Diceros bicornis minor: one gene and its partners. The protein of the gene in region 2 interacts with the protein of the main gene of each other region in a pairwise test. Links are inferred from orthologs where the notes say so. Each region holds a gene or a part of one and is shown on either strand. Other genes may lie near its edges.

What was found.
Region 1: the proteins of ATXN1 (region 2) and ESRP1 interact in binary tests that used the Homo sapiens proteins (3 or more experiments, as listed by UniProt). The link is inferred for Diceros bicornis minor from reciprocal best matches to the Homo sapiens genes ATXN1 and ESRP1.
Region 3: the proteins of ATXN1 (region 2) and EIF4ENIF1 interact in binary tests that used the Homo sapiens proteins (3 or more experiments, as listed by UniProt). The link is inferred for Diceros bicornis minor from reciprocal best matches to the Homo sapiens genes ATXN1 and EIF4ENIF1.
Region 4: the proteins of ATXN1 (region 2) and TENT5A interact in binary tests that used the Homo sapiens proteins (3 or more experiments, as listed by UniProt). The link is inferred for Diceros bicornis minor from reciprocal best matches to the Homo sapiens genes ATXN1 and TENT5A.

What each region holds. Positions count from the first base shown.
Region 1 is NC_080760.1:13,857,919-13,865,862, forward strand, and holds the start of ESRP1 (epithelial splicing regulatory protein 1), read left to right. Parts: upstream 1-4,943; 5' UTR 4,944-5,180; coding exon 5,181-5,312; intron 5,313-5,824; coding exon 5,825-5,953; intron 5,954-7,235; coding exon 7,236-7,349; intron 7,350-7,944. UniProt on the Homo sapiens protein: mRNA splicing factor that regulates the formation of epithelial cell-specific isoforms. Specifically regulates the expression of FGFR2-IIIb, an epithelial cell-specific isoform of FGFR2.
Region 2 is NC_080753.1:50,433,621-50,441,444, reverse strand, and holds the start of ATXN1 (ataxin-1), read right to left. Parts: upstream 3,014-7,824; 5' UTR 2,792-3,013; intron 1,953-2,791; exon of another isoform or gene 1,627-1,952; intron 1-1,626. UniProt on the Homo sapiens protein: Chromatin-binding factor that repress Notch signaling in the absence of Notch intracellular domain by acting as a CBF1 corepressor. Binds to the HEY promoter and might assist, along with NCOR2, RBPJ-mediated repression. Binds RNA in vitro.
Region 3 is NC_080774.1:24,846,094-24,853,313, forward strand, and holds the start of EIF4ENIF1 (eukaryotic translation initiation factor 4E transporter), read right to left. Parts: upstream 3,035-7,220; 5' UTR 3,018-3,034; intron 2,921-3,017; exon of another isoform or gene 2,835-2,920; intron 2,651-2,834; exon of another isoform or gene 2,558-2,650; intron 2,382-2,557; exon of another isoform or gene 1,901-2,381; 5' UTR 1,874-1,900; coding exon 1,778-1,873; intron 1-1,777. UniProt on the Homo sapiens protein: EIF4E-binding protein that regulates translation and stability of mRNAs in processing bodies (P-bodies). Plays a key role in P-bodies to coordinate the storage of translationally inactive mRNAs in the cytoplasm and prevent their degradation.
Region 4 is NC_080762.1:49,746,433-49,754,078, forward strand, and holds the start of TENT5A (terminal nucleotidyltransferase 5A), read left to right. Parts: upstream 1-4,633; 5' UTR 4,634-4,932; coding exon 4,933-4,952; intron 4,953-5,135; coding exon 5,136-5,688; intron 5,689-6,812; coding exon 6,813-7,589; 3' UTR 7,590-7,646.

The DNA of each region.
Region 1 (7,944 bases), on a different chromosome or scaffold from region 2:
TCCCCATGACACAGCAATCAGTAAAGTCTTGTTTCAATGTTCCAGCCTTCCTTGATGGTGTCTCTAGTCTAAGCTAAGGTCGGAGGGTTACTAGCCTTTGTGGTTGTTGTCTGGAGAGACCCCTCCCCACTTGGAGATTCCTCTTGAGTAGTACCCCTCCTGGTTCTCAGGTTTGTTTTCTTTAAGGAAGACATTTCTTTATACATTTCCTCTCCCCTTAAAACCTATGAAGTGTGCATTATCATCTGCATTTTTACAGGTGAGAAACTGAGTCTTGTGAGGCTAAGGAACATGCCCAAGGCCATGAGGTAGCAAATGGCAGGGCTGATTATTAAACCCATACTTTTTCCATACAGACGATCTATAATAATCGCTATAATAAATGTCCAGACCAGTAATTTGGTTAAGTGTGTAATGCACAGAGTAATTCATAGAAAATTATAATGTATTTAGTTATCTTGACCATCACTTCCCCCTACCTCTCCACTTCAGAGAGGTTGGACTTGTCCCGGGAGTATAAAATGTGGTCTCTTTTACAACTGGATCTAATACAAATAAGTAAGAAATATAAATGGTTTGTGGTAGCCTCAGAACACAAGCTTTTACTTTGATTTGTTTTTTAAAAAACTGAAATATAATTCACATACCATAATATTCACCCCTTTAAGGTGTACAATTTAGTGGTTTTTAGTATATTCACGTTTGTGTGACGATCACCACTATCTAATCTGATAACATTTTCATACTTTGATTCACTTTTGAAGCCTCTTTTCTTACAGGTACAAGAGAACAACTGGGTATGTGCAAGTGAGAACTCCAAGAAGGATCTAGAGATCTCAAACAATAGTGGAGCCAGTAAGTGCAGTGCTGCTACTGTAGTCTTAAGAAGGGAACTGCATGACAAATTATAAGAATAAGACATATAGGTACCATTGTGTCAATGGTCAGGCCACAGAGGACACACCTGTCTTCTGTCCAGTTCAAGAGCTGCTCTCTAAAAGTGATGAGAGGAAAAGGGTCGAAGGAGGGTGATGACGATAATTAAGAGCAGGAAAGTAAGATTCCTGATGAAAGCTTTAAAGAGCTTGCGGTAGTTTAGTCTAGAAAAGTTATTTAAGAACAATCTTAAAGGATATGAAAGGATTGTTATACAGAAAATGCTGATCTCTTCTTTCTCCTTCTTTCACTAAGGAAAAGACAAAGAAAATGGATTCATTCTACAGAATGGAAGATTAGATTAGCATAGAAAGTCATGAGACACAGCCTTGTTAAACACTAAATGGTGGTGGCAGCAAAAAGTCCTCTGATGCTTTTAAAAAAATTTTTTAAGAGTTGCAAATAATAGTATAAAGAATTCCAACACGGGGCTGGCTGGGTGGGGCAAGCGATTAAGTGCGCGAGCTCCGCTGCAGCGGCTCGGGGTTCGCAGGTTCGGATCCCCGCGCGCACCAACGCATTGCTTGGCAAGCCATGCTGTGGCAGTGTCCCATATAAAGTGGAGGAAGATGAGCACGGATGTTAGCCCAGGGCCAGTCTTCCTCAGCAAAAAGAGGAGGATTGGCAGATGTTAGCTCAGGGCCAATCTTCCTCACACACACAAAAAAGAATTCCTTCACTCGGATTCCCCAGTATTGACATTTTCCCACATTTGCTTTATTATTTTCTCTGTCTATATATAGGTATATATTTTGTTGGAATTGTATGAGAGTAAGTTATAAACATGATTCCAGTTTATCCCTAAATACTGCATACTTCTTAAAACAAAGGACATTTTCCTGCTGAACCACAGTAATATTACAAAAATTGAGAAATTAGAACTGATACAATACTATTATTTAATTTGCAGACCTTATTCAAATTTCTCCTATTGTCCCAATAATGTACTTTAAAGCGACAAAAAATTTTTTTGGTCCAGCATCCATGTTGCAGTTAGTTGTCATGTCTCATAAATTCCTTTATTCTGGAAGAGTTCCTCAGTCTTGGTCTTTCATGACCTGAATAGTTTAAGAATATAGGCCAGTTATGTTGCAGCCTGGTCCTCAACTTGGGTCTCTGCTGCTTTAAAAAAAAGATTCTTACTTGTCTCAGGTGTTTTAGACATGGTCTTGACTGAAGACCACAGGTAGAATAAGCCTCTCTTCTCAAGAGTCTTCCCACCCACCTCATACTGATTATTCTTACTATATTAGAATAATTTATAGATGGTGGGATGGACAATAAAACATTTTTGTATACAGAATTGATCTGCTTGTATTACATAATTTTTTTTCTCGGCATTCCTGCACTTTACAAGAGTTTAATTTCTTTAGCAAAAGTAGGTTTCTCTGTCAAAGAATTAGCACCTACTCTTTTTAAACATCGAGACTTAAATTACCTGTAGACTCCCATTTTCAGAATCTCACCTTTGCGGTGATGAACTATGCCCAGCTCAGGAGACAAAGAACTGTAAAAATGGTTGGGTGTTACTCATTAAAATCATTCTACAAATATTTGTTGAATGCCTAGTATATGTCCGGCTCTGTTCCAAGCTCTGGGAATACATTAGAGAAAAAAAAAATTCTGTCTGTGTAACCTAGTTAGACAAATTTAAATTTAAATTAAAAAGATCAGAAACCAGGGATCCGACTTCCCTAAACAAGAAAAGACAAGTCTGTGAACAGGGGGAACCTGAGATTCGATTCTAATATGGATGACGCTGCGGAATCCCTGGCGAACGCGCTGATCAAGTTCTCAGTTGATCCAAACGCGCTATACAAATGATTAATCCGCACCCCGGAGGCCAGAAAGGACGGGCGGGGCCGGACTTCCTGAGCTGTTCTAACCGTTCTCAGCACAGTCGCCAGCCCGGCGTCGGGCCTCCGGGCCCCCCCGCGGGGCCACGCACCGGGTCCCGCGCCCCCACGAGGCAGTGCCCCCCGGCCCAGGCGGGGCGGAGCACCTGGGAACCGCGCACCGAAAAAGCCCCGCAGGGAGGTGGCTCCGGAGAACCGGCTCCTCCGGGCGGCCTCGCCCACTGCAATGCAATCTGGGTGGTTTTTCCAGGTCCCTCCCTGCCCCGTTCCGCGCCCAGGCCCTGCCCCCGCGGCGCCTGCGGGCCCGAGAGGGTGGCTCCGACACAGGGGCACTGGGGCGGGCCGAGGCTGCCGCTGCCAGCCAACCAGGACTGCGGGGGCCCTTTAGCGACCCCGCACCCTGAAGTCCCGGGGCGAAGAGCACGCGCCGCTGAAACTCGACCTGCGGACGAGGGTGGCCGAGCACCTTCGAGGGCCCTTGCAGCGCTGCCTGGCCCCGGCAGAGCCCGGCCTCCGCCCGCTCTCGGGGGACGCGAGCTGCTACCTGCGCCGCGGGCGGCGGCGCCTCCGCCCGCACCCTCTCCTGCAAGGAAACTCGGCGGCTCGCGCTCCTCAAACCCCTTCCCCTCACCCTGCCGCAGCCTCAGCTCCTCCCCACTAAGTCCGCGCTTCCTCCCCGTCGGGAGAGCGCGATCTCCAGCGTCCCGACATGCGTCCTGAAAGGTTCTCGGATTTGTACCCGGAGTGGGTTACTGTAGACATAGGTGTGTGGTTGCCTAATTTCACATCACAAATAGAAAGGGCTGGACACCTGGAGCCGAATTAGTAATACTTCAGACGGAATTCTGTTCCCAAGAATAGAGCACTTGGAAATATAAAACTCGAGGAAACTTCACCTCTGGCTCTTTTCTTTCTGTGAACGGGCCCACCACATTGCCGTCCGGCTGGGGGCTGGGGGGTGATGGTGGGCGCCCCAGCCTCGGTGCAGTCCGAGCTGAGCTAGAGTAGGGACACTGCTTGGCAACTTGGCCAAAAATAGACACACAAGTACAAAGGCAAAAGTATGAGGGCGTGGGACCAGAGCGGGGAACTGAGGGAAAAGCTTTGCTTTGGCTTGATTTAGACAAACAGCTACGCGGAGTACATGCGTTTTATTTAGGGCTCAGGGCAAATCAAAGGAAGCGGGCTCCTGCCCTGGAGGAGGTGCTAACCTCGAACTAGCACTCAGGACCAAACAGGACGTAGCAATTAAGGGAGTGGTCGAGAGGAGAGAGAGTGGGGTCCCCCTGCCGCTTTGCGCGCGGTAACTGCGTCTTTGGACGTAACTCGGTGGCCCGGCGTCCAGCCCCCGCGTCTGGCTCTGCGGCGCGCCGGGGTTTCACTCCCGAAGGTGGGCAGCGCCTCCGGGTTTGGAGGACCGTGCGCCCGGCTCCCGCCCGGAGGGGGGGAGGGCCTGCAGGGTTTCGCCTGCTGTTTGCACTTAAAGGTGTGTTGGGCTCAGGAGCGGCTTTTCCGGTGCTCGGCAATTGCCCCCGTCACCTCCCGGCTGCCGTTGGCCCGTCCCTCCCTCCGCGGCTCGCCCTTTCGGGGCGCCGCGCCCTGGGCAGCTCCGCACCCCGGGCCTCACCTCTGGCCTCCTTTCGCCTCCCCACGCCAGGCCTTTTCGCTTGACCCTTTAAAACCTCCGGCTTCGTTCCCCATAGCCGGCATTTCTCCAAGCCCCCCACGCCTCTCGGTTACCTCCATAGGAGTACCCCCTTCAAGCGACTCGCCCCGCCCCTTTTCCCCTCACCCTTTTCCCGTCTGGCCTCCGCTACCCTCTGGGTGGCAACTGCCGCTTCCCCGCCCCTCGCGTCTCCCCCTCCTCCTTTCTCGCTCTCCCCTCTCCATTCATCCTGCCATTGTCTCCCGCCCCCTCCTCCCCTTTCCCCAGGCGGCCTCCTCCCCCACCGCTGCCACGTCGTGGTTTGAAGGAGCCAATGGGCCGGCGCCGCCAGGTGTCTCTTACCTGCACCACGTGGGGGAGGGGGAAGGGGCGGGCAGGTAGAGCCACATCCCAAAACAGAAAAGCTTTCAGCCATTGCGCGCGCCTCCTGGGGGTGCAGCCTTGCTCCTGGCTTTTTGCATAGACTCACCGGCAATTGAATACAAAAAGGGCAGGCCTCCTGCGCCCTCCTTCCCACCCCCCTTCCTGCCCTGGGTGTGGAGCACGGGCCAGGTGTGGGCTTGGGTGGTTGGTTACCGCCTTTTGCACAGGCGGCGAGGAGGGGGGGTGGGCGCTCTTTCTTTTTCTCTCAAAAGAGGTTTTAGCACAGGTTTTCTCGTTCTCACTTCCACCCTACCTCATCGCCTCCCGACCCCCCCTTCTCCCCCTCCCCACCTATCGTCATGACGGCGTCTCCGGATTACTTGGTGGTGCTTTTCGGGATCACTGCTGGGGCCACCGGGGCCAAGCTGGGCTCAGATGAGAAGGAGCTGATCCTGCTGTTATGGAAAGTGGTGGATCTGGCCAACAAGAAGGTATTTCGCCACGTTTCTCTCCAAATGATGGGAGTGGGGCAAGAAGTTTGTTGTAGAAGTTTGGGGAATCGGTAAACAAGTGCTCTTGTTTGCCCACTTGTGAGGCTGGACCCGAGGCCTAGAGAATCCAGAGTAAAACCAAATTTGTTGGCCAACCGCCTTGGAGCCATTTCAGTCCCTCGAAATCTGGCTCAGGTGGGGAGGCCTGGCGCCGCGGAGCCGGGTTTTCTGCCCGTCGAAGGACGCCCGGCGGAGCGGGGTGGGATCCGCGGGGACCGGGTGCCCACTTCCCGGGCCTTTCCGACCTGAGCTGCGCGGGGTTGGGGCCGGGGGCAGGGCCGCGCCGACCTCCCGGCCAGCGGAGCTGCCGGTGACAAGTGAGCTTTGATTTTGCGGCCAGACCCCTCGAGAGGCGCGGGCCGTCCCAGGAGAGCAGCGAGGGAGGAGGGTGAAGATAGAGGCTCCCAAATTGAGGAAGGGAGAAACTGAGCCTTGCTTCTTTCCCTCCGGAGGTGGGACAGTTGCACGAAGTACTAGTTAGACCAGATCAATTGGAGCTGACGGAGGATTGTAAAGAAGAAACGAAGATCGACGCCGAAAGCCTATCCTCGGCGCCGCAGCTGGACCAAGCCCTCCGACAGGTGACAGCCTTGGGCCGCGCCACCCACCCCGATCCGAGCCGCCCAGGCGCCCCCGAAGCTCTTGGCCTAGCCCTACCAGGCCCCACGCCCTCGTCGGGCGATCCACGCGCGTCCTCAGGGCAGGTGGCCAGACGCCCGGCGGCGTGGGTGGAAACCCGGCCTGGAGGCCCGGGTGGACTTTTTGGGAGGAGGTCGCTGCTCCTCTTCGCCTCCCAGGCCCCTAGGGTCTTGGGCCAAAATTCGCTAGTTTTCAGGTTGCTTCCTGAGTCATTCCTGGGGCCAGAGAATCAGCCGGGTTTTACCAATTGAGTGATGAGCGGGGTTTGAATCCTAGCGTCCCCATCTCCCGGCCCAGACCCCAGACGCGTCTGTCCTCTGCCGGGGTTTGGGTCTGTGACTCAGCCCTGGGGCAGGGGGCGCTGTGGTGTGGAAGAGCGGGCGGGCCCTGCGTTGAGCGCTAGAGGCGGCTCCAGTTTGGTCGGAATCTGAAGGTGCCTGCTTGGTTTCAGGCTTCTAGAGGCTCGGTTCCGGTGCCTTTATTACTTCCTCAGTGGCCTTGGTCCTGGCGCCGGGGAGGGTTTGCAGGCCTGAGCATGTAGGGCTGCTCCTTGGGTCACCGTGAAACTGGTGGAATCCCTTTACTGAAATTGAGGTGACCTAAAAAGCGTCTGCACCGGGGTGCTGATGGGTACTGGATCGAGGATAGGGCGGGGCGCTAAACACCTGTGCACAGGTGAGTGTCTGGCGCTTTCACGGCCCCTGCCCTCGCACACTAGTTGCGAATTATAGGGGAAAGTTATCATTTCTGGGTTGTGTTCTAGGAAACGTGTTACCAGACTTTCCAGAAGTCTGTATACCCACGTTAGTTTATCAGAAACTGGCATCTTTCTTAAGCCTGGAACATCCAAACATTAAAAAAAAAAAAGAAAAGAAAAGAAAGCACCAGAGAATGATGTAATCTGAAGGCAACCTGCTGATGAAATGAGACCTGGCTTAAAAGTCTTGAATGGATTTATAGCAAAAATAGAAGGGGGACGGAAGGAAGAAAGCATTTACTAAATTCCGTGCGTAAATTGCAGGTTGACTGGAAAGCTTGCCTATCTAAAGGAAGCAAGACAGTTTGTGGCAACGGAGTCTGTCTCTCTAACGTTGCCCCCAGCACCAGGGCACCCTTCACGGCAGTTAGCGCGGTTTTCTCTGGGTTATCACTAAGTGGGGCCACTTTGCCGAGTTTGTAAATCCTGCATCAGTTGTGTCCCTATGTGTGTCTTATTCTTTTCAGTTTAACCAATCAGTGAGCAATGAGCTGAATATTGGGGTAGGAACCTCCTTCTGTCTCTGTACTGATGGGCAGCTTCATGTCAGGCAAATCCTACATCCTGAGGCTTCTAAGAAGGTAAGAATGCTGGCTTCTCAAAAAACGATTTGGGGTGACTGGAGCTTTTTTAAAAAAATGGTTTATCCAAGTTTCTCTATTTTAAAAAGATACATATGGGGAGTTATCATTTCATGGGGACAGAATTTCAGTTTGAGATGACAAAAGGATGGTGGTGATGGTTACACAACAATGAGAACATACTTAACGCCACTGAACTGTAAACGTAAAAATTGTTAAAATGATAAATATTGTGTTATGTATATTTTGCCACAATAAAAAATTCATGACACTTTCATAGAGATGTTTGATTACAGTAATTTTATGGATCCACTTTGGTGACTTAATAAAACAAAGTTTCTCTTTTTGTTTATATCAAGTTTTTGAGATGCTTGACATTCTCCCTTTTCCAAAGCATATTAGCTGAATTTTTGACATTTAAAATAACTACAAGTAGGTAGGAGAGAACTGTATTTTAGTACATTGTAATATCCTCATCCATAGGAAAATGCTTTATCCTAGAAAGGAAGGAGCAAAGAAAAAAGTTCAATTAAACCTTTTTCATTGTAATTCTAATAACTTCATTAAAAAGCTTTGCACTGTGTAAAGTAAGACT
Region 2 (7,824 bases):
TTGTTGGGCTCCTTTCACTGTCCAGGGAGATGCATTTACATACTGCACCCAGTAAGAACAGCCTGTGGGTCTCCTTTATAAAAGTTGAGTAGCTAGAAGCCTCATTCAGTGTCTCCAGTCCAGATGACTGAAAGAAGACCAATTGAAATAGTGAAGTCTCTCGTCTGGCTTGGGCAGCACAAATACTGTGCATAAAACACTTGGAGTAGTCCAGGCACAAGACAAACCCACCTGAATGGACGAGGAACACTGTCTGTTGCCATGGCAGCCTGATCTAATTACATGAGTGATCAGGGCTGGAGTAAGTGCAACGAAAACCTACACCACTGACAGTATCTTCATGATGAGAAAGGCAGGCAGGAGAGCCCTTCAACCTCTGCTTTACAGAGAAGGTGGCATTCAAGACCATTTGTGTGTGGAGCTGCTAAAATATTGACTGATGCATGCACAGTTAGAGGGCAATCAGAGGAGATTAAACGCCACAGCATTAGCCGCTATGGTGCAATCCCTTTCTACGAGTTCATGTGCAGGATTTTCCCATCCTTCTCTCTGGTTCTTCCTCCGGCATAACGGCATAAGCTTCATTCCAAAAAAAGCTCAAGTATCCAACTACCTTCACCCACCAAATACACCAGAGGGTGGGCTTAACAGGAGCTTCTAGGAACTGCAGGGCTCCTCAGAAACCCAAACAGAAATGGCTTAGCTAACATTGTTGAAAAAGTAACTAGCTATGACTAAAAATAACCACCAAATAACTACCCACTGTGTGTGCTCTATGTAAAGATGATGCTTAAATATTAAGAATACCCTGCATTATAAAACACAAATGTCATTGAGATGTGACTACTAGATTCCCAAAGGAGAACTTATTTGCATACACACATTGCCGTGCATGCACGACAGGATGTGCAGGGAGCATGCCACTCTAAGGCATTAGTTTTTATTCTGTGGGTGTAATAGGGTCTTCTAATTTTGCTAATTGTATCCTGTGGATCTCACACGGAAGCTAAGAATCTCTTCGGGGACAGAACCAGTTTGGAGGAGTCCCTACTGCACAGCATACGGTAAACAAAATAAAAATAGCTTGCCGTTCTCGTTAGCCACATCGCGCATTATATAACCAGCTTCCGACTGGCTTTTTTTCCCCCCTTACTACTCTTCAGCAATTTCCCAACCTTCCCAACTATTTATATTACCCTCTTATCTGTCGGATTATATACTAAGAAAGCAAAACAAAACAGAGCAGCCACGGGATTGAACCGAACCCCACAGTTCTTAGAAACTGATTTTTTTTGTTGTTTTCTGGCAGGATCTCCAACATCACCCTACTTCCACCCCCCACTAAGGTTCTTGCTCAATCTCCCTAGAAAACCTGAATTGTTTCATCGCTGCCAGTCAGCCCACTACGTGGTCTGACATAAAATGAAAGCACAAGCTACAGAGTTTAGGAAGGCGGCCTGAGGGCGGGAGGCTGAGGAGGGGTCGGGGCGCTGCAGAGTCAGCCAAGTGGCCACAGAGGGGGCTCCCTCCCCATGGCGACTGCCCTCGCTGCCCCCCTCCCCCGCGCACACACAAACACATACGCACACGCACTCGCACTCACGCCGGGCTCTGCCACCGCCTCACCTCTCGCTCCGCCCGTCCGGCCCCCTTCCCTGCCCCCTGCGGGACCGGCCTGCGCGCAGCTCTGGAACCACGTAGGAAGAGGCAGCGGCGGCGGCGGCCGCGGGAGTGGCAGAGTCTCCAGCACGGCCCAGAGTGAACGAGCAGCGGGGCTCCAGGGCGCATCCCAATCCCCGCAGCGCCTCCTCCGCCGCCGCCGCCTCCTCTTTCCCCTCCTCCTGGCTTCATTCACCCTCTCAGCAGCGGCGCAGCCGTTCACTCCCGGCGCAGGCAGGGCAGCGCCGGCCGCGGCTCTTCTGCTCCTGCTGCGGGCGCTGGCGGGGGCGCCGGTCCGGGCCGGGGCGCTCGCGGGCTCCCGGCGGCGACGGCCGCTGCACATGATCAGGAAGCGGCCGTACCAACAGGGCGGCGGTGGCGGCAGCCAGGGCCGCCACCGCCACTCCAGCCGCGCTCCCGGCACCCGCACGCCGGCTCCCCTCGCTCCCACCCCTCCGCGCCCCCAGCGCTCCCACCGCCCGGCCGTGCGCAAAGTCCCGGCCTCCGCGGGGAGACCCCCACCCTGGGGCTCGCAGGCCAGGCGGCCACCCGCGGGGAAGCCTAGCCCTCCTCCAGACCCACTGGCTCTCGCCGCCCTCTTTGGAGAGAGGGAGGAGGGGGCCGCGGGAGGAGGGGGCAGCGCGACCCCCGGCAGCCGCCGTCTCCCCTTACGCCACCTCAAGGGAGGAGGACATGGCTCGCCGCACTCTCCGCCGGACCGGCAGCCGCGGAGCGGGGCACCGCCGCCGCTTTCCCCGCCCGCGCCCCCAAACCGGGCGCACCCCCTCGCCCGGCGGGCGCCCACCCGGCCCCGGCAGACCCCCTGCCGGACGTCCCTGCGCCCAGAGCGGGGGTGTCGGCCCGGGAGGCTGGAGCAGGGGAAGGCTGTATGTACACACGCACACATACACACACATAACACAACACGACGCGTCGATTTCCTTCGCTCCTCTTCCAGCTGTTTTTCGTGCCGCCGATTGGGGTTTGGGGTTTGGGGTTTGTTTGCCGGTTGTTGCTTTTACCCCTCTCGGGAGAGCGGGGATGGGGGGGATTTTAATCTAAATAAGGGGAGAAGGGGATGGGGGGAGGGAGGAGGGAAAGAATCAGAGGAGAAAAAAAAATAGCCACTTACTGTAAAGTGTAAATGGATCTGGGGTTGCGTGGGGAAGGGGGGGCAGAGGGAGAGAAACAGTGTCTTGCGGCTGCTGTAGCTCTGGCTGCTGCTCCACGGGGCTTGTTTTGGATCCCCCTGCAGTGAAACAGGTCCTGTACGGCTCCGCCACTGTAGTAGAAATGATGTCTGCGGTATACTCTGCTCTCTCCTCCTCCTCCTCCTCCCCCCGCTCCCCTCCCCTCCCTCCTCCCTCCCCCCTCCGCCCGCCCTCCCTCGCTCCCTCCCTCCCTGGCGCTCTCTCGCGCTCGCTCGCTCGCTCCAGTATGTAAATGTGTAATAGAAGCCAAATATGGAGCAGTTGGCTGCCGCCGCCGCAGCTCAAGGATCCGACTTGGGGGCGGGGGGGCACCCTCTGGCGGGCGGCGGAGAGAGCCGCTGTGAGCACCGCGAGCGCGCGGCGCAGCGGCGGCCCGCGCCCTTAACCCTTCGGTGCGCGCTGCCCGGGCTCGGCGGCCCCGGGGGAGGCGGGCGCGTTTCCCAAAGACTGGATTGCGATCGGGGTGAGGAGGGCGGGAGGGGAGACACGGGCTGAAGGGGAGAGTTCTTCCAGGTTTGGGAAAGGGGCGGGGAGCTGAAGCGATGAGGTAATTTTAGCGGTGACCGGTCGGTCCTCGCGCGCCTCCCCGGGTCCCTGCACCTAGTTGGAGAAAACAGAGCGACATCAGGGTGCAACTCGGGCACCCTGGAGGACTCTCCGAGGGGTGTCGGGCTTCAACTCCGAGCCCATGAAATACCCCAGGGGAAGGGGAGGTGGCCAGTTCTGATCCCGACGTGCCCTTCGTCCCCGGCGCGCCGAGAAGCATCTAAGAGGGCTGACTTCGATCGTCATGCAAGTTAACCCTGAAACCGGTTTAGCTTGGGCTTTCCGGAACCCAGACCACCGGGCCGCGGGGATTGCCTTTGCGTGCAACTCAAGAAAGTTTTAAGGGTCCCCCCGATTGCACGTGCACCCTTACCTTTACTGCCTGCGAAAACCGGTGACCTCCCTGCTCTCCTTTTTCTCTCTGCAGGTCCGGAAATCTGCTTGGGGTATTGAACTACCCAGCTCTAGCCTTGGTAGACGACCCGCGCACTCCTCTTGCAGCTAATTCGGGATCATTAATTTAATCGGAAATGAGGTAACCAGTGTAGGAGATAAAGAAAGCAAACCGAGCATCGAATGGCACTTCTTGTGAATCCGCGCTGAAGAACTTCCTCTGGACTCAATTTTTAAGTGCGGTTCTCAACTCCCCACCATCCCGCCCCCTCGGCATCTACCACTGCCAGGTGTTAGCTCGATGGGAAAGAATTTTCTTTGGAGGGGTGCACCTTGCCAACAGGTGTGGCACCTGGAGGAAGAGAAAGCACATCCACGCTATAGCGAGGTCGGTGGGGCGTTCTCCTTAATGCAGATAATTCTGGAAGACCAGTAGGTGTCGGGACAGCGTTTGACTTTCTTCAGGTGCTTAGAACCAAGTGTCTGGAAACATGATCCTTCCACGTAAGTTTCTCTCGGGAAGCCACCACTACTGACTGTAAGCTGTATTTAAGAAAACTTTTGGCTGAGTTTACTTATGATCTAACGGTTAGTCACCAACTGAAGCAGGATACAGAATCACCAAGAGAAATATGTCAGCTTTTAAACAACTGTATTGTAGAGTCAACGTGCTACAGAAATAAAAATAAGCATACTAACTAGGAAGGTGTAGGGCCCCGGAAATCATTTTTTTCTCACATTTTGAAATACCATGCACATATACATGGCTACTTAAATAGAATTACTCTTGTTCACTCTTACTCATGTCTACAACTTTTTTTTTATCATTTAACAATCAATGATTGCTACAGTTTAAACCTCGAGGTTGGACTAAGGTGATATTGTTGGTCTCCTTACAGCCTCTAGTGGACAGTTTAAAATCAGTTTTCTGAAAAGGCTCTGCCTGGTGGTGTTTTCGTTGACAAGCATTATCAAGGTGAAGGTTAACATCTCAGAACATAACCGGGTAATATCTCTTCCCCCCACTTGGCAGAGCCGGCTTCTGAAAGGAGCAGAAGCTTGTTGGCTCTGCACGTAAAAGCCGTATGCGTTGTGCGGCAGGTATTATATTACTGGCCTGCGAATAAACAGAGAGCTGCTGCTATTCATTTCAGTTTCAGACAGATTTCATAAAAACTAAATTCATCTAAAATATTTTTATAACAGAAAATATTGGTTGCCATGTTTTTGGCTTAACTGAGATGTTTTTATTCCAACTCCTGATCTGCAGACTGTCCAATCCACCTCCACTTTATTTTTAGACATCTTACGTGTAGAGAATTTGGGGTGAAAAAGAGCTAATCTTTTAATTATTACATTGACATAAGCAGTTAGTTTAAGTTATTTTAACAGCCTTAAATGAAAACACATAATTCAGATTAGAGTTAGTCAATTAATTTAAATGTTCCCTCAAGGAAGCGAAATATGTATATTACCGAAACAGTAAGAACAATTAATAAAAAATGTGTCATTTACTTGCTTAGCCATTAAGATTAAAGCCATAAACTGCCATTAAAATCTGTAACTGTTTCTTCCTGCAAGGTCCAACATAAACATAATACTCATGATGGAGTTTCTTTACCTTCAGTACTGAAATGTTTTCTTTTCAGATGGCAAAATATTAAACGTGCAATCACAAACAACTGGCACTGATTCTTTAAAAGCAAGACTTTCTCATGTGAATAAAAACTCAATGAAAGAAGAGATGGCTTTTCAAGAAGCCAGTAGACAAAAATGTGGTACTATAGTCCTATTCATAAACTTGATACTATATTCGTACGAGCATAGGCCAAACTTTGAAATTAGAGCAAATTGAGAAATAAGGCCTGCTGAGCCTTACTCCTAATATGTGTTCTGGATTGCTTAAACACCATGGAAAATCATTTTCAACCCTTATGTCTATTTCATTGTTTTGGTAGTATCTACTTTTGAAGGTTTAAAATGGGCTATCAAGTATATATTCTATCATATAATTATGTATTACATCTTGCTTCTGAATGCGTAATCTTCAGAGCAACAGCAGCAGCATCTGGGAACTTTTTAGACATTCAGAATGAGAGTTCCACCCCATTCTACTGAATCAGGATCTGTCTTGTGATTCCTAAGCACATTATAGTAGGAAGAACCTTGTCTATACTGCAGGGCCCTGTCTAGATGAATCTGGCCACAGCTGCAGAACTTAATTCTTCTATTTATTCCTTTTTTACTCCCTCACCCTGTTATTAATTTGCACTTGTTAATGGAAAATTATTATATTTTATGCTTTGTTCAAATAGTACTGCATTTCCAAAGAGCCCTGATTTATGCACAAATCTGCATCATCATTGCTGAGAGAACACTCTGGGAGCAATGTACTGGGGTCTTGAATGTGAAGGTTTTCTTCACAGCAGCAGAGGGAGCACAAGAGTGCTTAATAAAACCAGTGCATGGGCCCTCCAAATGGTAAGGGATTTTAAATTGTACTATAAGTTTTCATTGGAAGTAACCTCTTACATCATTCAAAACAAAGCAAAACAAAAACAAGCAAACTCAAACAGCTTACCAAGTTATAACAACTAGATAATTGGACAGATTGGAAATTAAATACAATATAGCTATACTTATTTAGAGTTTAGGCTTGAATTCTTAGAAAGTAAACCTCAAAAGTCATACTTGGAAAAGATGCCTTAGTTTTTCTCCCGTCAGAAATAAAGATAACAGGATCCAGAATAAAAGGCAACTCGAAGAGTAACTCCTGTTTATCTAAAAACATTGGGGTCAGTTAACCCAACACTACGTCAGATCAATTCATTTCATTTGGAGTCAAATATGTTGGTGAAAAAATGTGAACTTTTCACCATGTTTACTTTCACAGTAATTGTAGGGGTTTATCCTTATGTTTGCAGTGGTGAGGGTTTACGTTTCAGTTATATCTATGTGGCATTTCATACTTGCACAGTCTTCCGCACTGCATCTTCACACACTTCTGTGAGGTGGCTGAGACATAGGAAAGCCGAGCCTCAAAAAAGTTTTGGAACCAGGTTGTGCCTTGAGAGCACTGGGTCATTTAATTGTTACAATAATCCATTCAGGTGTTCAGAGAGGAGGGGAATGGTAGAAGTTCAAATCCAGCAGCGTGTTCTTTGCAGTTTTAACAGTTTTTCAGTTACTAGATAGTGAATGTTTAATAGTGAATATTTAAATAAGAGACTGTCTTAATTCTCAAGCTGCTTCTCATGTATTTATTGTTTATTTACCAGCAGCCATTTATTTTGCATCTACAATAACTAGGATCTGAGAATATAAAGATGAGTAAGACATCTCTGTCTGCAAGGAATTCACAGCAAAACAAATCTTAATCTTTTGAAAAAATGTTCATTTTGACCATGATGAAACTTAAAGATTCATAGTTGATTGATCCAGCACCTCTCAGAGTCATTACATCAATCAGACTTCCAAATATGAGAATCAAATACTAGAATCATTGAAAATCTGGGAGGTGGGAGGGCAATTGCATAACATCTGGAAGGTGGGAGGGCAAAAATAATTTGAAATATTAATATTTCAAATTTGTAAAACAAGCAAAATGCAGAGATGTATTTTATCTGAATGCCTTCCCTAACAAAAAAATCTTATGAGTAAATTCAAATGGTAAACATTTATTTATTTATATCTTTAAAAAAATTATTAACAAGAATTTCCTCCTACGCTAAAGAAAGATTTGCCAAGTTTCTGCCTGGAGCAATTTGTTATGGCTGTGTCATAAATCCTGGAAAGTTTGAATTTTTAATGGAAACACTGACAGACCTTTGACCATGCTATTATAAGGAGGGTGTTATCCTACATATGTCATTTAAAAATCTGAGCAAATCATAGTGTGCTTGCAAAACAAATATACTTTCCTTAGATTGCACTCCCAAATAAAGCTGGGGAGAGCAGAAAAGTAAAATAAACTAAAAACAAAAGTGAAAACCACTCACATAATAGACTCTGAGGT
Region 3 (7,220 bases), on a different chromosome or scaffold from region 2:
TCTGGGGCTGGACTGCCAAAAATGGGCAATATTGAGCTTCTTAATCTTTACTGTAGACATAGATAAGTACTACCCTAAGACAGACCAATAATATTTTCCTAAAAATGACTTACGCATAAAGATAGATATGCATAAAGGTGAAACATACATACCATTCTCTAATCAGCATGTGAAAGTGATTGAAAAGTCTCTCTGCCTGGACTCCACAAAGTAGAGTACCAGTCAGAACTTTTATTCAAAAAGTACTGGAAGATTTGAAATCACATAAGCTTATAGAAGCAGTTCAAATCAGTTTCCCTTCATTTAATAAGCTTTTCTCCATTCAGAATTCACCTGTCAACACTTTAAATAATGAATTTAAGTTGTGAAACACTACTCCAGCACTCTCAGGTGAGAGAAACTACACTTGGGAAGAACAAATCTGAATGAAGAAGTACAATACTTTCTATCAACTCACATTCTATTATGCCAAAACAGATTGTGTTAAGAAAGCAATTAACCAAGAACCCTTTTACACCTGAAAATACTTTTCCTGTAGAGAGCTTTTTTTTTTTTTTTAAAGATTTTATTTATTTATTTTTCCCCCAAAGCCCCAGCAGATAGTTGTATGTCATAGCTGCACATCCCTCTAGTTGCCGTATGTGGGACGCGGCCTCAGCATGGCCGGAGAAGCGGTGCGTCGGTGCACGCCCGGGATCCGAACCCGGGCCGCCAGCAGCGGAGCGCGTGCACTTAACCGCTAAGCCACGGGGCCGGCCCGAGAGCTTTTTTTAAATGCTAAAAATGGATATTACTTTGATATCCATTTGGATAATACTTTGGCATTGGATGAATAATACTTTGATAGCATTTGATACTTTACCACGTAGGTAAGAGCAGTGGCACAAGTACATAAACAAGGCCTGACTTGAAAATATTAACCATTCAGTACCCCGGGAAGCCAGGGACAATAACCACATTAGAGTCCCTGACTGAGTCCATATTCAGGAAATACAGATATGGCCTAACTAGAACATAACCCTTCCCATCAACATTCCTATTTTATCTACTCCAGCCCAGTACATTTCAGGGAACCAGAAATGAATTCACAGCTCACCAAGTCCTGTCAACCTCTTCAGAAACATTCAGTAGCCAACAACATACCGAAGCAATAGCTTCAATAAATATATGACCTTGAGGTGATTTGCACCCCCGCTGGAAAGAGCAGGTATCTAGATGAGCAGTTTAAAATCACCACAAGTTTTCAGCTAGGGAAAATATGATTGAAGTTTTACTTTTGTGAGTCCACATCCAATTTGCAACGGGAAATAAAAAACAATTAAAAAATCTGGTTACCCTAGCTAAGCACACCAAAGAGCATTCCTTTGGGGAGTTTACCTTTCAAGGAAACATCAATACAGGAGACATTGATTCTGTAAGGCATCTCAAAGCTGGAATCCTTACCGCACAGCACGTGAGTCAATAAGACACCAGTTACATAGCTGTTACAGAATCTGTGTGCTAACATATATTGATCCCCAAATTCATATGGAATCTGAGCCAATATTCTCTTCACCTGAAGGCTACTTAGAAGCAAATTCTAGTTTAAACTCTGGGTATTCACTTTCAGAAAAAGGTTCAAAGCAATGCTTTACTAAATCCTAGTTAATATTTAGTCCATACAGTGAGCCAAAAGTAAGACTACCACTTGAGATGAAACTAATGAAATACCTACACAATGTTGTTACTAACCTCCCCATCTGTAAAGAAACACTATTTCATTAGTAACAAAGCCTACTTTTGTATATCGATGGGGGGATTTGGAGGCCGGTTGTTTCTTCAGGTCAAGGAAAGCATCTCCATTTTCTGTTTCAACCACACTTCTTCTATCCATGGCTCCTTGGTCTACAATTCTTTGCACCTGGAAGATAAATCGGCACAAAACTGTCACGGAAAACAATAAATTTTCAGAAGTCTTGACTGCTTAAGAAAGTGAAACCCTTACCTCTTAAAATGACTACCTTTAAAAAACAAACCCTCGCTCAACAATAATGCTATAAACCAGAACCCACTTGGAAATAGAACCACTGGTACTTAGTTATCTCTTACAGTAAAATGCTCTAAGCATCAACAGGGTAAGGAAGGCAGAAGTGGAAGGTGCCCAAATCAGGGTACAGCCTTTAAACAGCTTTAATACGAAAAGAAACCAAGATTAGTCGCTGCCACGCATAGGGGCCGTTCAGGCAGTAGTGGGGAAGTTTCCCGGGGTGGGGGCAGGTAGAAGACCCGCTGGGGATCCGGGAAGTCGAGCTGTGGTAAAGTGCCTGTCACTTGCCAATGGACGGCGCCAGCTGCCCCTTGTTATCCGGGGGCCAGGGACTGGGGACCGAGCCCGAGCGCCCCTCGCCCAGGCAGCCGCACCTGTGGCCATGTCAGGAGCGCCCGTAGCAAAGAAGGGGCGAGTGCTGGCTTCAGTTCCGAAACTCAGCTTCCCCGGGCCGCGACCCCAACCCCCGGCCTCTCGCACAGGCCCCGGCCCAGCGGCCTTCTTCGGAGGAAGGGCGGGGACGGTACTCACGGAGAGGAGGCAGGTCGGAGGGAGCGCGGAGGCCGAATCCCCCGGCCCGGGCGCTCCCAGCTGGAGCCGGCGCAGGCCCGCCGCCGTCCGCCCCAGCCCGGCGGCTAGGGCCCCGCCAGCCCGCCCGCTGCCTGCCGGCCTCGCGCCCCTGCCCAGCCCCGCGCGCGCCCAGGCGCTCGCGCTCACGCACGCGACCCCGGGAGCAGCGCGCCCCTGTCCCTCCTCTCCCTGCGGGCCCTGGAGCGCGGTGTCCCGGCCCCCGCCGCCAGGCCCTTACTCGGTGCCTCTGCCGCCGCTCCCCTCCCCGCCACCCGCGCCGGTCCGAGGGCTGCTCCGCGCGGCCTCCGTTCTCGCCCCCCCGACCCGCTCGAGCTGTCTCTCATCAGCCGCCGTAACCGCAGCCCAGCCCTCTGCCCCTCCTTCCCGGCCCCCTCCCCCTTAATGACTCCCCTCCACGCACCCCGGCCCCAGCGCCGCCTGCGCCGCCGCGCGCCCGGATGTGAGGTGGCCGCCGCGGTGCCGGACGGAAAAGAGAAACATCGCGGCGCGCTCCCCGGGCGCCAGCCCCTGCGTGCGCCCAGCGGCGGGGAGGCGGAGGCGGGGAAGAGGTGGCGGCGGCGGGGAGGAGGCCAGGGCGGGGCCAGCGGAAGCCCTCCCCGGTGCGCGCAGGCGGTCGCCGTGGGCAGCCCCGGGGAGCACGCCGCGCTCCCACGCGCGCTTCGGGGCGGGGCGCAACGGGGCGGGCGGTGCTTGCACCCCGCAACCCCCGCTCGGCAGCGCTTCTGGTAAGGTGGCGGTAGCCGCCAAGTGGGCCGGGGTCCGCGGCCTCCTGCGACCGGGGAGCGCGTCGACCGCTGCGTTTCCACGGTTCGCGTCGGCGGAGAACCTTGGGGCCCTGGCAGTGGGAATCTGAGTTAGGCGAACCTAGCGGCTTTTGAGCCTTCCGGGTGTGGGCTCGAACCTAGTAGTGGTGTGTAATCTTGGCCAGAGCTCTGACTTCTCTGAGGTTCGGTCTTCTTTTTTCTCAAATGGCCTCTCTATAAATTTACGAGGAATAGACGAGATTACGCGTTGCTGCATTAATAAGCAAATTTGCCGCGATTGTTTTTGATTGAGCTGAGGGCGACTGACAAATTCATTGAAAAGTTCTTTCCCGCCCATAATCTGAATCTTGAGCCTGCACGAGAAGGGGCAGTTCTAGTGTGTTTGGGTGAAAATGAGCTGGCGAATGGCAAGCGCTTAGTACATAGTGCCGAGACTGGCTGACGGGGGCACAGAAATGCAAATATAATTTCCCTACTCTAAGCGATGAAAGTAACTGCTGCTCCGGGGAGGAGCGGTCAGGAAGGGTTTGGCGGGGATCACAGGTGAGCCCGGTCTCCAGGAATATCACGTACCCCAGTTTCTGCCCCGTAGGACCGCCCAGGGTTGGTGTGAAATGACACATGGGCGTGGAGGGAAACGTAATTTTCCTCGCTAAAGAATAGCGAAGACTACATTTCTTTGAAGGGGCCTACTTTCTTTGAGCTTCACTTTCCTCACTTGTGAAATGAGGGGATTGGGCAGTAAGTGATCACTAACTTCCCTTCCTATGAGTGTTGGCACTAGAGAAAACAATAATGAAAACGTTTTTCTCTTTGTGATATTGAATACGATGTGTCTCTTACAAACTATCTTTTCTCTGCAGGCAAGAGACAGAGGGAAGTGTTTGCAAGTGGGGCTGAGTTTGCATTGCCGCTCTACCACACCCTACAGGATGTGGAGAATTAGGCCATTTATCCTTAGCCTTGGTTTTCTCATCTGTAAAATTTAGAAGATAACCCACTCAGGGCTGTTGACAAGGTTAAAATAGGATAAGGTAGGCAAAAAGTTTTATACAACCTCCATAAAGCTGTTTTTTTGTTTTTTTTAAGCCTATACAGAGACACATTGTAGGTGGTCAAACAATGGTCATTTTTATTATTTTTAAAACCAAGCTGCTATTAGAATCCAGGTTCTTCCTGATACTAGGGAAATGGTTTAATCTTCTTGTCATTATGGAATAGTGGAGAAGGCCCATTCTTTGAAGCTCTTAAATCCTGGCTCTGCTGCTTACTATGAAACCTGAGCCAGTCATTTCACCTTTCTGGACCTGTTTACTCATCTGCCAAAAGGGATAGCAGTACCTCCTTTTCAGACTTGTGGGAGGAGTTACAGATAACATTAAAAACAGTGTTTTGGCTATCTATTGCTGTGTAACAAACCACTCCCAAACTCAGTGGCTTAACTCAACATTTATTTTGCCTCTGAATGTGCAATTTGGGCCTGTTCTAGTTGAGACACTGGTCTCTGCTCCATTTAGCATCAGCTGGGGCGCTGGAAGGCTGCGGGCTAGGATCATCTAATCACTCACTTTACTCACCTGTTTGGTGGTTAATGGTGGCTGTCAACTGGGACCACTGGAGCTGTTGGCTGGAACACACATGGCCTCTCTGTGGCCTGAGCTTCCTTACAACCTGGTGGCTAGAGAGAATGAGAGGGCCAGACAGTTGCTGAATTGTTTTTTTTCTAACTATGCTTCCAAGTCACTCAGTGTCTATTCTGCCACATTCTGTTCCTTAGATAGGAGTTACTAAGGCTGGCCTATATTCAAGGGGAGGGGACTTAGATTCCACCTTTATATGAGAGGAGTGTCAAAGAATTTGTGGGCATATTTTTAAATTACCACAAGCCACACACGAAATCTGCTCAAGGTACTGTAGCTAGCATGATAGAGGCCTCACCTGGAGCTAATGTCCTCTATCCTTGTTAGGAGAACGATCCTAGTTAGGACATACTTTTCCACCAGGCTCTTCTCTTGTAGAACCTTGGTCTCAACTCACTTCTTACCTCTCAGAGTCTCAATTTATCCTTGTGAAAGAATAAAACAATTATTACCTAGGAATAAAGGTAATAATTTACTAAGGGAGGGCGTCTAAAAATTTCTTTCACCTCTGCCAAGCAAAAGCTAGATGCTTGCAAATCCTTGTTTCATTGTAGCTTTTGAATGTTACTCTCCTTGGCAGGAATGATAATTTGTAATTCTAAATGCCCCTTTTTGCAACTAGTAATGAAATTTCAAATATCAGAATGGGAAACCCCTTTGACAGAGTGAGAGAGAAATGACTTATTCTAGTTCTTTACTAAATATAAGATCTTGGTTTACGTTCAAAATGTTTGTTCCAAGTTTGGCATAAGGAGACTCAAAGGTTTAGTCATTTGGGGGAAATTAGTAGTTCAAGAACAGTAGAGAAGCAAATGAAAGTATTAGAAACCTAGAAATTTTGAGAGCAGCCTCATCTCAGAAATTGAATTGCCCTGTGCCTCTCTAAATGAGCTTTTTCCTACTCAGTTTTTCTTGCTCCAAGGGTAATCCCTAGTTCCAAGAAAATAGGATTTGAACAGTTTCACATTGTGTCATCATGTACTCAGGTTAAGGACTATAAAGGAGTTATTAAGGGATTTCCGGAAGACCACACAGCAAATTATTTGCAGAGCGTAGACCCCTTCTGACACTTGTACATCTTTGATTTTATATATGGGAAGTACTTAAAATAGAGCCTGACACCACATAAGTGCTGCTGCACTAGCTGTTGTTATTCTATACTGTTATCTTCCAATGTTTCTTGACAGGACTAATTATTTTCATTATAACTCAAATGGAAATGCCTTTTATCTTTTTCTAAATTAGTCAAAGCTGACGGTGGTAAATGCACGTGACAGGAAGAAAGCATCAGCAAATTATCTAGAAAGCATGCTTATTGATTTATCATTGTGGATCTGTCATAATTTATATAAATGTACATAATTTATATAAAAGTACTTAAAGACTAATTTTACAATAAGCAAGTATGACAGTGTTAATTAGGGCTTTGAAACTCACTAAATTTTTTTTTTTTTTTTTTGTGAGGAGATCAGCCCTGTGCTAACATCTGCCAATCCTCCTCTTTTTTTGCTGAGGAAGACTGGCCCTGGGCTAACATCCGTGCCCATCTTCCTCCACTTTATATGGGACGCCGCCACCGCATAGCTTGCCAAGCAGTGCGTCGGTGCATGCCCGGGTCTGAACTGGCAAACCTCAGGCCGCTGCAGCAGAACGCGAGCACTTAACCACTTGTGCCACCAGGCCAGCCCCACTAAATTGTTTTAAAACTACTTGGCCACATAACTTCAGAAAAGAGTTGTCCGTAAAAGACTGGCTCCCGTGTCCCACTAAAGTGGAACTTCTTTTACACATTTTTTAAATTATAAAATTAACATATGTAGAAAATGAGCAGAAATGCAAATTACCTATGATTCTAATTCTGAGACACCCAAGTTATTTTTCCTCATGTTTTTAAAAATCTTTCAAGCATTTACATACATAATACTAGCCTTTGTTCTCTCCACCAGAAATCTCACATGCTTTCAAATGTTTTACAAAGCACCGGAGAAAAGCATATAAAAATGCCCCACCGATCCTCCCCCATCCTTATTTTTAAAATGATCAGTAAAAAGAGGAGGATTGGCATGGATGTTAGCTTAGGGCTGATCTTCCTCACAAAAATAAAACATAAATTAAAAAAAATTAAAATGATCAGAATGGACCTAAATTTAAAATTTTAACAACTATTTACTGACAGTTAGTGCTTGTTAATTACATGTT
Region 4 (7,646 bases), on a different chromosome or scaffold from region 2:
GGGAGAGAGAATTAGTAGGCCTAACAGCAGTTTTCTGGGCTCTTCTCTCGCTTCTTCTGGGTGTGACCTTGGGGGAATCATTTCGTTTTTGTTTGCTTCCTATCTTCTAAAACCATTTTTGAGAAGATAGGAAGCAGACATAAGCAAAATGGGAAAGGTAGCACCACTGCTAAGTGAACTTGGGGCAGTCCCCCACCCTCACATTGCATTTTGGGGTGTGTGGCGTTTGTTGCAAGCTCTCTGCAAGGCTGTGAGCTTGCTAGCTCTCCACTGCCAGGAAGGCAGGTCATTTGTGGCTGGGGAAGAAACTCCTATCATCCCAGTTAGGTCACTGTGCATTCTGGCCCTCGACGGTTGTTTCAGGATAAAACACCTTGGTCCTCAATGTTGTGTCTAATCTCAATGTCCAGGACTTGGAAAGAAAAAACGAGCAGCTCCAGTTCAGTTTTAAGTCTAAAAGGAAAACGAGAAGACAGAGAGAAGGCAGACTCATAGACTAAAAGGGACTAGAAGAGCAGCCACATGGGTGGGTCTGAACCAAGCCTCTGCCACTTCTGTAAATTACTTAACCTTCTTGTGCCTTGTTTTCTGGAAAATGAGGATGTAATATGTAAAAATGTTTGGAGAAACTTTAAAAGAAATAATGTACGTAAAATACTGAGCACATTGCCTGGCACATTGTAACAAACTGAAATGGTAAGTATTATTAAGGCCAAAATTGAATTTCTTCTTATTGTGCTAAGCCCAGATTGATTGTCACCGTAACTTTTATTTTTTATTTATTTTTTTTGTGCGAGGAAGATCGGCCCTGAGCTAACAACTGCCAATCCTCCTCTTTTTGCTGAGGAAGACTGGCCCTGGGCTAACATCCACACCCATCCTCCTCCACTTTATATGGGACACCGCCACAGCATGGCTTGATAAGCCATGCGTGGGTGCGAGCCTGCAATCGGGGAACGGCGAACCCCAGACTGCCACAGTGGAGCGTGCGCACTTCACAGCTTGCGCCACCGGGCGGGCCCCTGTAACTTTTAAATCAAGATCAACTAATAAGTGTTTTTTCCTCAAAAATGTACGTAAAGCTTTCTTTTAAGAATTTCAGATAGAGACTCAAAGCATCATATTGCCATAGATATTTTTTTTCCTTTTAAAAGCGGAAATGTAGGGGCCGGCACAGTAGCGTAGCGGTTAAGTGCGAGCGCTCTGTTGATGGCAGCCTGGGTTCAGATCCCTGGCGCGCACCAACACTGCACTGCTTGTCAGGCCATGGTGTGGCGGCGTCCCGTACAAAGTGGAGGAAGATGGGCACAGATTTTAGCCCAGGGCCAGTCTTCTTCAGCAAAAAGAGGAGGATTGGCATGGATGTTAGCTCAGGGCTGATCTTCCTCACACACACACAAAAGCAGAAAAGTAAATTAATTACAAAATAAGTTCAAAAGCTAAAGCCTAAAAAAAAAATCAGGAACTCTGCACCTAAATTTAATTTAAAAGTAACTGTCTTCGCTGTGAATGTGTTTGGAAAACATAGACTTTCTCATTTGATAATTAATTTGGTTATCCAGAAAAAAAATAAATGCTTGCAATCGCAAAATTTGCAATTTCTTGTAAGGATGAACTTTTTTTCCCAGAATGTAAATATTATCTCAGTTTGAAGATAGGGAGAAGAGGGACAAAGAACAACAGATGTATCCAGTGGCCACTATGAATCAGGCACATATGAATCCAGTCAAAGCACCACCAAGATGCTGCCAAAAGTAAGATATCCCAGATGTCCTAGTGCAGGAGGTGGTAGGGTCTGGATTACGGAGATTTGGAAGGCTGCAGTGGGGAATGCTTTGTTCAAAGGTTAAGGAAGTATCAGCCACAAAGCTCTGGCAGCTTGGGAGAAAGGGTCTTGCCCCACTGCTGCTGGGATTCATTTTTTCCCCGCTCAGGGTCTGATGCATAGCAGGCCCTCCACCTCTGGCCTCATGCTCTACTTCTGTCTCTCTGCCACGCCCTCCATTTTTGGGAGAGGCCATGAGAGCAGCTGGGCAGTGAAGAGCAGCCTCAGCCTGGGAGAGGGTCCCCCCCTAGAGAACTGGGGGGCAGTGGCTGTTGTCAGTGTAGTGCAAAGTGTGGCTGGGCCCTCTTGTCAGGATCACATGGGCAACTTGCTAAAATGCGGATTCCTTTAGCCCGACAGAACAAAATCCTGGGCATGCATGAAGTGCATGGGCTCACCAGCTCTGAGACTCTAATGCTTTTTTTTTTTTCTTTTATTTTGAAGGAGGGTTAAAATAAAGTACAAAATAACAGCACTGGGGCTAAACCCTTGATTTTTTTAGTGCAATATACCTAATACATGATCTACCCCTCCGGCTTTGTTTTAAGAAGTGGCAAAACTCATATTGACCTTTGAAAGAAACATTTGTAACAGGCCCTCTCCTTTTCTTTCAAATAGTTTTGCTGTTTGTACTTGTCTTGCCTTCCAGTGGGAAGGGACTGGCAAGCTACAGATAACGCGGCTCCTGACAATGATGGCTACACAGCAGTTACAGTCAAACCGGTTGGGGTCAAGGCCTGACCCCACCACTTATTAGCTGTGAAACTTGGGTAAATCTCTTTATCTCTTGATGCCCTTTTCCACATCCCTATGGCACAGCATACCTGCTGCTTGAATTGCATATTAAATGAGGTTTTATGTATAAAGAGCTAAGCAATGTATCGCCCAGACGCGCTCAACAAGTTCCTGGAACGCCCACAAACCTTATCTAAACGTCCTACCGATCTCCTTTCTTACCATGGTGGTCTGTACATCCTTTCTCAAGCATTCTCTAATTCTCTTATACTCTTCGTTGATAATGGGTTCTCCTCCTTCCTCGACTATTGAAGGAAAGTCCACTTTTCAACGTCCAATCCAAATGACACTTCTCTTCTGGTCTTGTCTCCCAGTTCCTCCAATCCTAGTAAGCCCAGCACTCCTCTGTGTCAGACAGAACACACTTCTCTCCTAACACAGGTATAGTTGAACCATAATTATGTACTTGCCGGTCATGCCCACTAGACTGTGTAAAACGTAGTCATTCTTAAATCCTCGTCACTTACCTTGGAGCCCGGCACATAACAGGCGGTCAAACCATATATATATATATATATATATATATATATACACACACATACATACACACACACATGTATGCGATTTTCCTGAATGTGCAGACTAGATGGATTCATGGGAGGATGGCTAGACGGGGGGAGGACATGAGGGTGCTTTTGGGGAGGCGATGGGGCTATGAGAATTGCGTGGTTGTCCTAGCGTCCCTTCCCCGACCCCCCACCGTGCTAGGCGTGACGCTGAAGGATAATGGCTTCTAAGGTCCAGCCGGTTTCTCCGCTTTGGGACGCGGCTCCGCAGGGCACCGGCAGGGGGCGGCGTTGTCGCGCAGCTGGATGCTCCGCGGGTGACCGTCCCCCGCAGAGCGCTGGTGACTAGGCCGGGGCTCCCCAGCGCAGAGGGGGCGGCTGGGGTCGCGCGGGGCCATGAGAGGGAGTCCCCGGCGCACTCCCCCTCGCCCCCACCTCCGCCGCCCGCAGCCCCGACGGGAAGGAAAGTTCCTGAGGTGCTCGGGCAGAGGCAGCGAGCGGCCGGAAAGGACGCCCGAAGAAAGGGGGGCGCTTTCTAGCAAAGACGGGGGAGCGAGCGCCAGTGCGCTCCTTGCGCTCTGCCCAAGCGAGTGAAGCTGGCGGAGAAACTTCCATCCTTAAAACTCGTACTTTCATGTTTGGTGGAAAAATTTAAATAATTTCACGCTGACATGTGAACACTTGAGAAAGGCAAACCTTAGCGCAGAGTGACGGACCCGCTCGCCGCCTTGGGGCTCCGTGAGCGAACGCGCCGGGGCGTCCAAGCCGCCGGCGGCTCTAGGGCGACATCGCGGCCGCGCTCTCCGGCCCGCTCCGCCCTCGGCATCGGCCAGCCGCCCGCGGGCGTCCCGACTGGCCGCGGCGTCCGCTCGGGGACGCGCGCCGGCCCGCGCCGCGCTCCCGGCCGCCCGGAGCCGCTCGTGCGCAGGAGCCGGACGCCCGCCCGCGCCCCGCCCCCGCGGCTCCTCCGGCTCCCCGCGCTCCCCGAGGCTTCGAGAATCGAAACCCGGTTATCACGAGCCCTCCCCCTCAGGCGCGGAGACTGGTTTGCGTGAGGGAGTGAACTCAGATCACCCCGAGACCGGGCTTATGAATGAAGTAAGAGGCCCCCCGGACACACCGGGTAAAAGGGGGTCGTGAAGAACCGCCGAAGCCCCATCCTGAAGCTGTTAGGACGCGCTGGCTCCGGCGAGAATGTTATGTTTGGGAAGTTTCTGCAGTCGAGTGGTTTTAGTCGTGATCCGGTTCTCAGGGCCACTTATGCCTCTTCAGGCGTTCTAAGTTGGGGAAATAGAAAAGAGGCGGGGGCGGCGGGGGCCTGTACGCACTCGCGGCCCCCCCGCCGCGCTCTCCCGGGACCGCTCCCCCCGCAGCGCAGTCGGCCGGCCGGCGGCGGGGCGGGCGGGGGCGGCGCCCTATGCAGATGAGGAGGGTGTGGCGAGCGCGCGGCGGCGGGGCCCCGGAAGCGCAGAGAGGCCCGGTATAAAAAAAGTACTGAAGACCTTTCCCCGCACAACTGCTAAGGCTCCGGAGACGGGAGCGTGTGCGGCGGCGGCCGCGGCAGCAGGAGCCGCCACCTCCGGGACCACGGCAGCTGAGGCGGCAGCGGCGCGGTCGGGGGCGAGGGGCGGGAGCGGCCATCGCAGGCGGCGGGGGTCTGGGCAGGACTAAGTCGCTCGCCGCTGCCGGGAGCGCACTCGCAGCTCCTGGAAGTGTTGCCGCCTCGCGGGTCCTCGCTCGCTGCGCTCCTAGAAGGGGCGGCCGCCTCCAGGTGACACAGACGGGACTCTCGCTTGCGCTTTCCAGATGCATCAGAGATACTTTTGGTGCGGGGCTGCTCTGCGGGGCGCGGCGCGCGCGGCTGGGGACCGCGGGAGCCCGGGGAGGGAGAGTCTCGGAGGAAGCCCCAGGCAGGGGGCGAACCCGGGAGGGAGCGCGCTGTTTCCTCTGTGGGCCCCTGTCCGCCGCCGCGCGTCCTCACCGCGCTCCCTCCCCCTTTTTTCCTTTAGGACTGACCAGGGCCAAGTGGTGTTCGGCGGGCACTTCATGGCAGAGGGCGAAGGGTACTTTGCCATGGCCGAGGACGAGCTGGCCGGCAGCCCCTACATCCCCCTGGGCGGCGACTTCAGCGGCGGCGACTGCGGCGGCGGCTTCGGCGGGCCCTGCTTGGACTATTGCGAAAGCCCCACGGCGCACTGCAACGTGCTGAACTGGGAGCAAGTGCAGCGGCTGGACGGCATCCTGAGCGAGACCATCCCCATCCACGGGCGCGGCAACTTCCCCACGCTCGAGCTGCAGCCCAGCCTCATCGTGAAGGTGGTGCGGCGGCGCCTGGCGGAGAAGCGCATCGGCGTCCGCGACGTGCGCCTCAACGGCTCGGCCGCCAGCCACGTCCTGCACCAGGACAGCGGCCTGGGCTACAAGGACCTGGACCTCATCTTCTGCGCCGACCTGCGCGGGGAAGAGGAGTTTCAGACTGTGAAGGACGTGGTGCTGGACTGCCTGTTGGACTTCTTACCCGAGGGGGTGAACAAGGAGAAGATCACGCCGCTCACGCTCAAGGTAAAGCGCCCGAGGCGGGGAGACGGGCTTGGGTCGGCACCCGGGCCGGGCCGGGGTGCGGGGTGCGGAGGGCGGAGGGGCTGCCGTTTGACGCCACAGGTCGGCGGCCAGGACGGGTTTGGGCGCGCTAATTTGTTTTGCTTGGGTCTTTTTAAGGAGTAGACTACGGTGCGTCGACGGTGTTGAGTGTTTTAGTTTACTTGGTGCTTCAGCGCCACAGCTCTTCTCCAGCTTCCTCTTCTGCCGTCCCTTCGCTTCCTTCTCCTTATTTTTTAACCCTTGGCTTTTCTTGCTTTTGTCTTGCCCAGAGTAGATTCCGATACGTCGAAGAATGAAATGATGTAAATCATTTTTTTTGTTGAGTCTTTTTATGTTCTAGTGTTTGGGAAAGTAGCAGCCTTAAGCTGAACCTAGTCAATGGGTTAGTTATTGTATTGGAAAATGTGAGTAGATTTCCTAGCTGCATTCAGCTGACTCCGTGTGTTTAGGATAAGCACCAACCCGGTGCTTCTCCGGGTTGGTTCGTGTGTTAAGGATACAGTGGAGTCCTCCTCTTCCCTACTTTCGTTCAGTGCGCGTTTTATATAATTAGTTAAAATGGTCTGAGGAGTCAGCCTCCCAGAATGTCCTAATTTAGTTCATATTGGATTGTAACTGCAGAGTACCCCTGGTGGGACATACAAGATACTGACCACTCGGTTGCCTTAGGGGGAGGGTAGTTGGGTGACTAGCGACAAGTGTGAGAGGCAGACCAACTTTTCAGTGTATGCCCTTCTGTCTTTTGAATATTGTGTGGATATTGTGTGAATATTGTACCTATAAGACCGTTTTCAAAAAATAACATTTCAAAAGTCAGACATGACAGCCTGTTAGTACTGTGCTATGTCTGCCAAAAGCCTCGAACTATTATTTCTAGTCTCTTTCCCAGACGGTAAAACTACTCGTTAAATGTATTTTTTTTTTCTGTTTTCAGAAGACTGTTTAAGCCTGTAGGTAGTGTTTTGCTGAAACTTGACAAAATAAAAGAGAAGGAGCAAAATAATTCTCAGCTGTGAAGAGGATGTATTTATTTATTATTTTTTTCTAGGTTTGCTCATCTTCTTGTTTTATCTTTTAAATTGTAGGAAGCTTATGTGCAGAAAATGGTTAAAGTATGCAATGACTCTGACCGATGGAGTCTTATATCCCTGTCAAACAACAGTGGCAAAAATGTGGAACTGAAATTTGTGGATTCCCTCCGGAGGCAGTTTGAATTTAGTGTAGATTCTTTTCAAATCAAATTAGACTCTCTTCTCCTCTTTTACGAATGTTCAGAGAATCCAATGACTGAAACATTTCACCCCACAATAATTGGTGAAAGTGTCTACGGCGATTTCCACGAAGCTTTTGATCACCTTTGTAACAAGATCATTGCCACCAGGAACCCAGAAGAAATCAGAGGGGGAGGCCTGCTTAAGTACTGCAACCTCTTAGTGAGGGGCTTTAGGCCCGCCTCTGATGAGATCAAGACCCTTCAGAGGTATATGTGTTCCAGGTTTTTCATCGACTTCTCAGACATTGGAGAGCAGCAGAGAAAACTGGAGTCCTATTTGCAGAACCACTTCGTGGGATTGGAAGACCGCAAGTATGACTATCTCATGACCCTTCACGGAGTAGTGAATGAGAGTACCGTGTGCCTGATGGGACATGAAAGAAGACAGACTTTAAACCTTATCACAATGCTGGCTATCCGGGTTCTAGCTGACCAAAATGTCATCCCTAATGTGGCTAATGTCACTTGCTATTACCAGCCGGCCCCCTATGTAGCAGATGCCAACTTTAGCAATTACTACATTGCGCAGGTCCAGCCAGTATTCACGTGCCAGCAACAGACATACTCCACTTGGCTACCCTGCAATTAAGAATCATTTAAAAATGTCCTGTGGGGAAGCCATTTCAGACAAGATAGGGGGAAAAAA